Linked DNA regions of Oryctolagus cuniculus. The protein of the gene in region 2 interacts with the protein of the main gene of each other region in a biochemical or structural test. Links are inferred from orthologs where the notes say so. Each region holds a gene or a part of one and is shown on either strand. Other genes may lie near its edges.

What was found. The genes of interacting proteins can lie anywhere in the genome.
Region 1: the proteins of NGF (region 2) and NGFR form a complex in vitro, tested with the Homo sapiens proteins (2 studies listed by BioGRID and IntAct, with this or other methods). The link is inferred for Oryctolagus cuniculus from reciprocal best matches to the Homo sapiens genes NGF and NGFR.

The regions. Positions count from the first base shown.
Region 1 is NC_091448.1:25,538,405-25,542,049, reverse strand, and holds part of NGFR (tumor necrosis factor receptor superfamily member 16), read right to left. Parts: intron 3,290-3,645; coding exon 3,148-3,289; intron 1-3,147. UniProt on the Homo sapiens protein: Low affinity receptor which can bind to NGF, BDNF, NTF3, and NTF4. Forms a heterodimeric receptor with SORCS2 that binds the precursor forms of NGF, BDNF and NTF3 with high affinity, and has much lower affinity for mature NGF and BDNF.
Region 2 is NC_091438.1:55,015,902-55,019,646, forward strand, and holds the start of NGF (beta-nerve growth factor), read left to right. Parts: upstream 1-1,345; 5' UTR 1,346-1,364; intron 1,365-1,440; exon of another isoform or gene 1,441-1,528; intron 1,529-3,745. UniProt on the Homo sapiens protein: Nerve growth factor is important for the development and maintenance of the sympathetic and sensory nervous systems.

The DNA of each region.
Region 1 (3,645 bases), on a different chromosome or scaffold from region 2:
TGCTCCCAGGGCTGGCAGAGCTTGGATTTAGAAACCTGAGGACCAGGGAAGGCGGGGCTGTCTGGAGCATGGAGGGGGTGGGAGGGAGGAGCCCAGCCGAGGGAAACTGAGGCAGCCATGGGGTCAGGTCTCTCCCTTAACTAAAAGCATCAAGAGACAAGATGGACACAGGGTTGCTGTCGTGGAGCCTGGGGCAGGCATGGAAGGCAGAGGAGAGGAGCCACCAGAGAGAAAGGGGCAGAAGGGGGCAGGGGATGAGAGAAGGGAAGGCTGAGGCAGGGGGGCCTGGGGGGGATTGCGGCTTCCAGCCAGCTCTGACAGAGACCCTGGCTTCTCTTCCCAGGGAGCCAGCAGCTCTGAATTCAAAACCCACTTCCATCCTTTATTCGCTGTGTGACCCTGAGTGCCTTATTGACCTCTCTGAGATTTTTTCTTTTTCTAGAAAATGGGGAATAATATCTCCATTCGCAGGCTGGTGGGGAGGAATGAATGAAATTTGGCTGTGTGGCCGGCGCTGTAGCGTAGTGGGTAAAGCCAATGCATGCAGTGCCGGCATCCCATATGGGTACCAGTATGAGGCCCGGCTGCTCTACTTCTGATCCAGCTCTCTGCTGTGGCCTGAGAAAGCAGTAGAAGATGGCCCAGGTGCTTGGGCCCCTGCACCCACATGGGAGACCCAGAAGAAGCTCCTGGCTCCTGGCTTCGGGTTGGCCCAGCTCCAACCGTTGCGGCCATTAGGGAGTAAACCAGCAGATGGAGAACCTCTTTCTCTGCCTCTCCTTCTCTCTCTTGTAATTCTGACTTTCAAATAAATAAATCTTTAAAAAAGAAGAAATTTGGCTGTAATTTTCTTTTTAAGATTTTTATTTATTTGAAAGGCAGAGTTACAGGGAGAGAGGTGGGAGACAGAGAGAGAGAGCTTCCATCTGCTGGTTTACTCTCCAAATAGTCCCAACGACTGGGGCGGAGCCAGGACAAAGCCAGGGGCCAGGAGCCGGGACGTCTTCTGGGTCCCCCATGTGGGTGCAGGGACCCAAGCAATTGGGCCATCTTCTCCTGCTTTCCCAGCTGCATTAACAGGGATCTGGATTGGAAGCAGAACAGCTGGGACTTGAACCAGTGCCCACATGGAATGCTGGAGCAGCAGGCAGTGGGTTTACCCACTATGCCACAACGTCGTAATTAACCCTGGGCACTGTGGTGGACATTGTGGTTCAGAGGGTTAAACCACAGCTTGGGACACTCACATCCATATCAGAGGGCCTGGGATCGAGTCCCAGCACCTTCCTATCTAATACACCCAGGAAGCAGCAGACGACGGCCCAAGCACTTGGGTTCCTGCCACCCTTGTGGGAGACCTGGATGGAGTCCACGACTCATGGCTTCAGCCTGGCCCAGCCCTGGCTGTTATGGCCATTTGGGGATTGAGCCAGTGGATGGAAGATTTCTTGATCTTTCCCCTACCCGCACCCCCATCACTCTGCCTTTCAAATAAATAAATAAATGAAAAAAATAAATAAATCTTAAAAACTAAAAAGCACTTGGTACATGGCAGGGATCCCACAGAGTCTGGGCCTGGAACAGTGCAATGGTGAGTGCAGAGGACTCGGGTTGGGGACATGGTCAGACAGCACAAGGGACTTCCAAACAAACAGCTGAGGCTGGAGTTGGATCTGTATGAACCAGAAGGGCCTGGCTGGCTGGCCCGTGGCAGAGGAGTGGGTCTCGTCACACGGGAGCCAGAGAGGCGAGCCCTGCCCGTGGGAAAATAGAGCAAATGGACAGAAAGCTCCTGGGAGAGAGTTTTAGGTGGTGTGAAAAATGCGGTCGTTTTTGGCAGAGAATGAAGGCAAGAGCTTAATAGGTTTCCTTGTGGAAACATTTTGAGGGTAGAGGGAACGACCACTGGGGTCTCCGTGCCATAAAGTGGGCTTGTAAAGGCTTGTTAACCCAGCTGGAGGTGGGGAGGGGGAGCAGCAGAGAGGGGAGGAGGAGAGCGAGTGAGCGAGTGAGCGAGCGAGCAGGAGGGAAATTTCCCCAGCCACATTTGGGTGGTGAGAACAGCAGGCTGTGGAGGTTCTAGGATGCTGATGGTTGATGGACCTTCTACCCGCCACCGATGCAAACCCCATGAGGCCAGAGCCAGTGCAGGGGGCAAAGCCTCCCCCCTCCCGCCCCTGCCCCGGGCCCAGGCTTCGGTCTGCTGGGTGGTGAGATAAGCACCCACAGTACAGGGAGGAGAAGAGCATGCCTGGGGTACACCAAGGAGAGGGGGTTGCCCAAGGGACAGGCGGACTGAGGGGGCCATGTCTGGACCTGAGACCAGGCCAGCGGATGGGTTTAGACTCCCCAGGCCTACACCCTCATTCCCAGTGGGCCTATGCTTCCCACCGGCCTCCAAGCAGGCAGGAAAAAGCCCCTCGCCTAAGGCAGCAACTGAAGACTGGGGCGTCCAACGTGGACTGAGACTCATGACTGGAAACGCACGGAACTCTGGACAAGGCTGGAGCTGAGGGGCCCGGACCCGCTGTCCCTCTGCCTCCCTCATCCTCCCGCTCTGGAAGGCAGGGTTCACCCCTCTTCAGGCAGCAGTGGCAACAGTCCCCCTGTCCCCTGCCCCCCATGTCAGCCCATGGTAAGGATGTCCCTGCTGCCCTGGCCGGAGCTGGGGGGAGGGGTGGCCTCAACCTCCCAGGATCCCCCAAGGTCAGTCTCCAGGGCAGCCCGGATTGGATCCTCTTGCCCCTCCCCCAAGCTCACGGAAGGTCAGTGGCAGCCATTGATTTTGCAGTGGCTATTTTTAGCTGGGCTTGGCATCAGCTTCTCCTCCTGTGCTTGGCCATGCTCTCCTACCCCATGCTTCTTTGCTTGGGAGCTGGGAAGGAGCAACCCCTGGGGGGATCCCCCACCAGGTCCCCCTCCTCCCTCTGCACCCATCCCTCACGCATTCTCATTCTCGGCTTCTCTCTGCCTCCCATACTGGAGCAGCCCCACTTCTGGTGACCATGCTATAGGGGAGGCAGGAGTTCCTGCCCTGAGGCAGAGCACTTAGAAGGCCTCTAATGGGCATGCTCCCCCCTTTAGCCCCCCCCCTTCCACCTCCCTTCCACTCCTCCCTCCTCTCCCCGCCAGCCACCCTCTACTCACTGTCCAGGCAGGGCTCACACACGGTCTGATTGGCTCCACAGGGCTGGGCCACGCCCTCGCCCAGGTTGCAGGCTTTGCAGCACTCGCCACTGTGGGTGTACAGACCCGTGGGGCATGCTTCCTTGGCACCTCCGAGGGACACCTGGGTGTGGCAAGATCAGAGGGTCAGGCTGGAGAGAAAGACGGGGGATGTCTTGGAAGGGATCAGACGCCCCCCCCCCCCCCAACGCCTTCTATTGGAACCACCTGGGCCAGGATGAGCTCACCAGGCAGGCATTAGGCACATCAAAGCCAGTGGGGAAGTAAGACAGTGGGGGACAGTGCACCCTGCAGGCTGTGAGGCGGGACCAGGTCAGAGCCTGGGATGCTGACCTTCTGCAAAGTTCATGTTGGGGTTACAGCCACCCCTGGAGCCCACAGGATACACCTGCGCAGGTTGCAGCCTGCACAGGCCCCCAGCCGAGGGGGCGAACAGAGCTGAAATCTAGCCCAAACTCC
Region 2 (3,745 bases):
CCTCATTCTTGTCCCCGCAGGAATAAAGGGCCTGAATTTAGGACGGCGGGGGGGGGGGGGGGGGCGCAAAGGTGGGGAGAGAAAGGAGCAGAGACCTCAGGCCAAGTTAAGCCAAGAGCATCGGCAATGCCCAGGCAAGGCTGAAGGAGACCGGCCACCCTGCACTTCCGCCAGGAGCCCGGGGCCTCGCCAAGATCTCCGCGCGCTGGGCTGCACTGCCTCTGGCTTGTGCTGCCCGGTGTGAGGTGTGAAGTCACCAGTAACTCAGGGAGACGCAAGCCCTCCTCCGCCCTCTCCAGCACTCTCCCCGCTTCCATTCCTCCCCTGCAGCATCCACACAGGGTAGGGACTCGGCATGCCTCTGCCGAAGCCCGTAAGCGAACGCATCCGGCAAGCTCACGGCAGGGAGGGAGGGGCAGGGATGCAGTTTTGCGAAGACTTGTAGTTCCGGAGCGTGTTATTCTGGTTAATGATGCCCACTGGTGAGAACTCTGGTTTGAGGGGTATTTCTCCCCGGCTAGCCTGGGGCTGGGCTGGAAACGGCCTGAGCTGAAGGGCAAGCCGGCTCCCGATGGACAAAAGCCCCGTCAGGCCGTGAACCCCAAAGTATTGGAAAGGCCGCCTCACCTCAGGTGTGCATAAAGGGGGCTTGTGGGCAGGGTCGCCATCTACATCAGTTTGAGGTCAAAGACTCTTTGCAAAACCAACAAAAGCTGCGGATCTTCGACCCAGAAAAACGCAGGCATCCGGCACACACTGCAAGCCCACCTGTGATTACAGGAGGGTTGGGGACCCTGGACAGTCTTTAATTAAGGCCCAGGGTCTACATTCTGACGCCTAAGGTCCTCTGACCCTAACTCCACGCCGACCTCGCTCCCGCCCCCAGAGCCTAGCACCGGCTCTGGCAGCTGCTGCCCGCCCTGGTGGCAAAGGAGCCAAGGGCATCCTGCACCCCGCGCGGCTCCCCCGGGTGCTCGCTTAGCCCCTCCACAGGGCGCGGGAGCAGCCAACGCCTGGGGCACCGAGGGCCAAGTGGCGCAGACCAGGGAGGCGCGGGCGGCCGGCAGCGCGCGGGGGCAGGGCAGGACGGCGAGGGCAGCGCTGCGCAACTCCGCCCCGCCCCGCCCCGGCTCAGGGGCGTCGGGGGCTGGCACCCCTGCCCGGAGCGCCAGAAAAGCCCCAGCCCGGCTTCGGCCGCGCGCCAGCTCCCACCCCGGCGCCTTTCCCTTCGACCCCCGGAGGTTCGTTGACCTCTGGAGGTCTGAATCCTTCCCCCGGCTTGGCCCTGCCAGCCCTCCCGGGAGAGAGCGATCGCTCGTCCTCAGGACCCCCTACAGCCGGGCATCTTGGCGTGGCCACAGCAGGTGCGGGGCTGGGGGTGGGGAGGGGTGGGGTGGGGGTGCAGAATTAAGAGCGGGTGTGACTCAGGAGTCCGGGAGGAGGGGCTAAGAATTCAAGAAGCCTGTGCTGGAGCAGCTCGGCGCTCCGGCTCAGCAGAGAGCGCTGGGAGCCCGAGGGGAGCGCAGCGGTGAGTCAGGCTGCCCCGAGCCGAGCCCGAGAGGGGTGCAGCGCGGGCGCTGGCGGGCCGGGGCGGCGGGGCTCCCCGGGAGACTGTGCTTGGAGCCCGGTCGGGCGAGCTCTCCGGGCACCCCCGAGAGGAGTGTCCCTAGAGGGCGCGAGACCCTTGGCTGGCGGGCGGGCGGGTGGAAGGGCGCAGCGCTCCCTCTGGTCCTGGGGCACGGTCCCGGGATGGCCAGAAGTGCGAGAGGCCACCTGGCTCCTGCAGAAGCCGCACGGCCATGCCTGGGAGCAGCTCGAGGGCCGGAAGGGGACAGCGCGCAAGTGAGGGAGAGCGAATGCGCGTGGCGAGAGGGATGCGCGGGCAGCAAGCGCGCCGGGGTTGGCGAGTGGTGGCCCGCGCCGCGGAGGGCTCCGGGCGCCGGAGTGGCTAAAGTGCTTCACTGCCCGCAGGTATCAGGACGAGCGGGCCAGGGAGCGCTGGAGCTGGTGCAAGGAATAGGGCGAGGGTCTCAGGGCTTGCCCGCGCGTCGTAGAAGGCCTTGGGGGTCCGGCCTGGGGTCCTCCACGGGTTGACACTGGCAGCCTGCGCGCCAAGTGCCGGGGTTCAGCATCTGCGCTGCACATCCTCGGGAGGTCGCCAAGGCTCAGCCCTGCCCCTGGGTCACATGCCTCACCTCTAGCTGTGTGTTGCCAGGTGTGGGAGAGCTGGCAACGGCAGGCTGGGGTGGGCAGCGCCGTGGGTTCAGGCAGCGAGGCTGGAGGGGCGGGAGAGAGAGGACTCAGGGGTCAGGGAGCTACAACTTTGAGCCAACATAAACAAGCAACTTAGCTCTGCTTGCTTATGCTCTTCTCCCCCCCCCCCCCCCCCCCGATCTCTGAGAATCTCGTGGAAGGTGTTTTCTGCTTGAACTTTCTCTTCTCTCATGACTTGAGAGATTAAAAAAGAGCCTGCTTGCTAGGCTGGTTTTTCCAAGTTGTTCCAGGTTGGAAGTTGTAACAGTTTGAAGGATAATTTATGGGTGTTTTGTGCGTTAACGTGTATTACAGCAAAGCCTTTTGGGTGCTGTGGGTATTAAGGAAAACTCAGTGCACGTTCCCAGCTGGAAACCAAAATAGTGCTCTCCTGGGTGTCTCTGCCCCCTCTGGCATCTGAGGCCAGTGGAAATCCTGGAGAAAAGGCACTTGATGAATTGTCCTGGCTCCATCCGCTGGGCACACCCACTGCCCTGCCAGGCCCCTCCCCCCACCACAGGCATGGCCAGCTGCATTCTGCACATTCAGAAACGGGGATGGAGGGCCCTCCAGGGGCTGCCCTCGGGGGTCTTGAGCCTCCTGAAGCTGACGGTGAAGTCCGCCGGTTGGCCTGAACTCTTGCTCCCTGTGCAGAGGCACGCGGAGAGGCTGCCTTTGGCCGTCAGGCCTCTGCTGTTGAGGAAGTCATAGCCAAGGTGGGCACCTGGTGCCAACTCAGGATGGCAGTATTCCCAGGGGTCCAGGGAGCACTGGTGGCCCCCGGGGTGAGAGTGGTCTGGGGGCTGAGGACCAGTGCATCTGGCATGGATTCTCAGGAGCAGTGAGTGTCCCTCTTGCTGGGGAGGGGGAAGGGGAGGGGTTCGTGCCACGTGCGGCCAAACTCCTCCCTCATCTGCATCCTAACATCTGTAGGCAGGAAAGAAAAGGGACACCTGGAAGAGCAGCCAGTTAGGAGGCACCGCAGACAGGAAGGCCGGGTCGTTGGGCCTGGAAACACACGTCTGGATAGAACCGGACAAGTACCTCGGAGGACTTGATAAGCAGCCATAGGTACTGCTGCCTTCCCTGGGCAGCCGTCTTACTCCAGGCCCCCTAGCGAACTGGGCCTGCTGGGGGTGGTCACCCTAGTGGCTGTGGCTCTTTCCCTACACTTACTCCTTAGCAAGGAATGAGGCTCTCGCTTTCTGCTGCGCCTCCCACCCCAAGGACCAGTGGGAACCCGGGAGGAGGCTTCACCCTCCCATTCCCTTTCTGGGAGAAAGCTGTGCCTTGGCCAGGAAGGGGGCCCCAGCTGCCGACATCGGTAGGGAGGGTAGGGCATGGCAGGGCAGGGCTGGAGCCCGAGGGGAGTTTCTCATCATTGCTGAAATTCAAATGATGAGAAAATCACACAACGTTACTTTCTGGTGAGTGCTGGGTGCCGCTGCTGCTCACTCGAGGGTGCTCAGCCGGAACACACCGCATCGGAGCT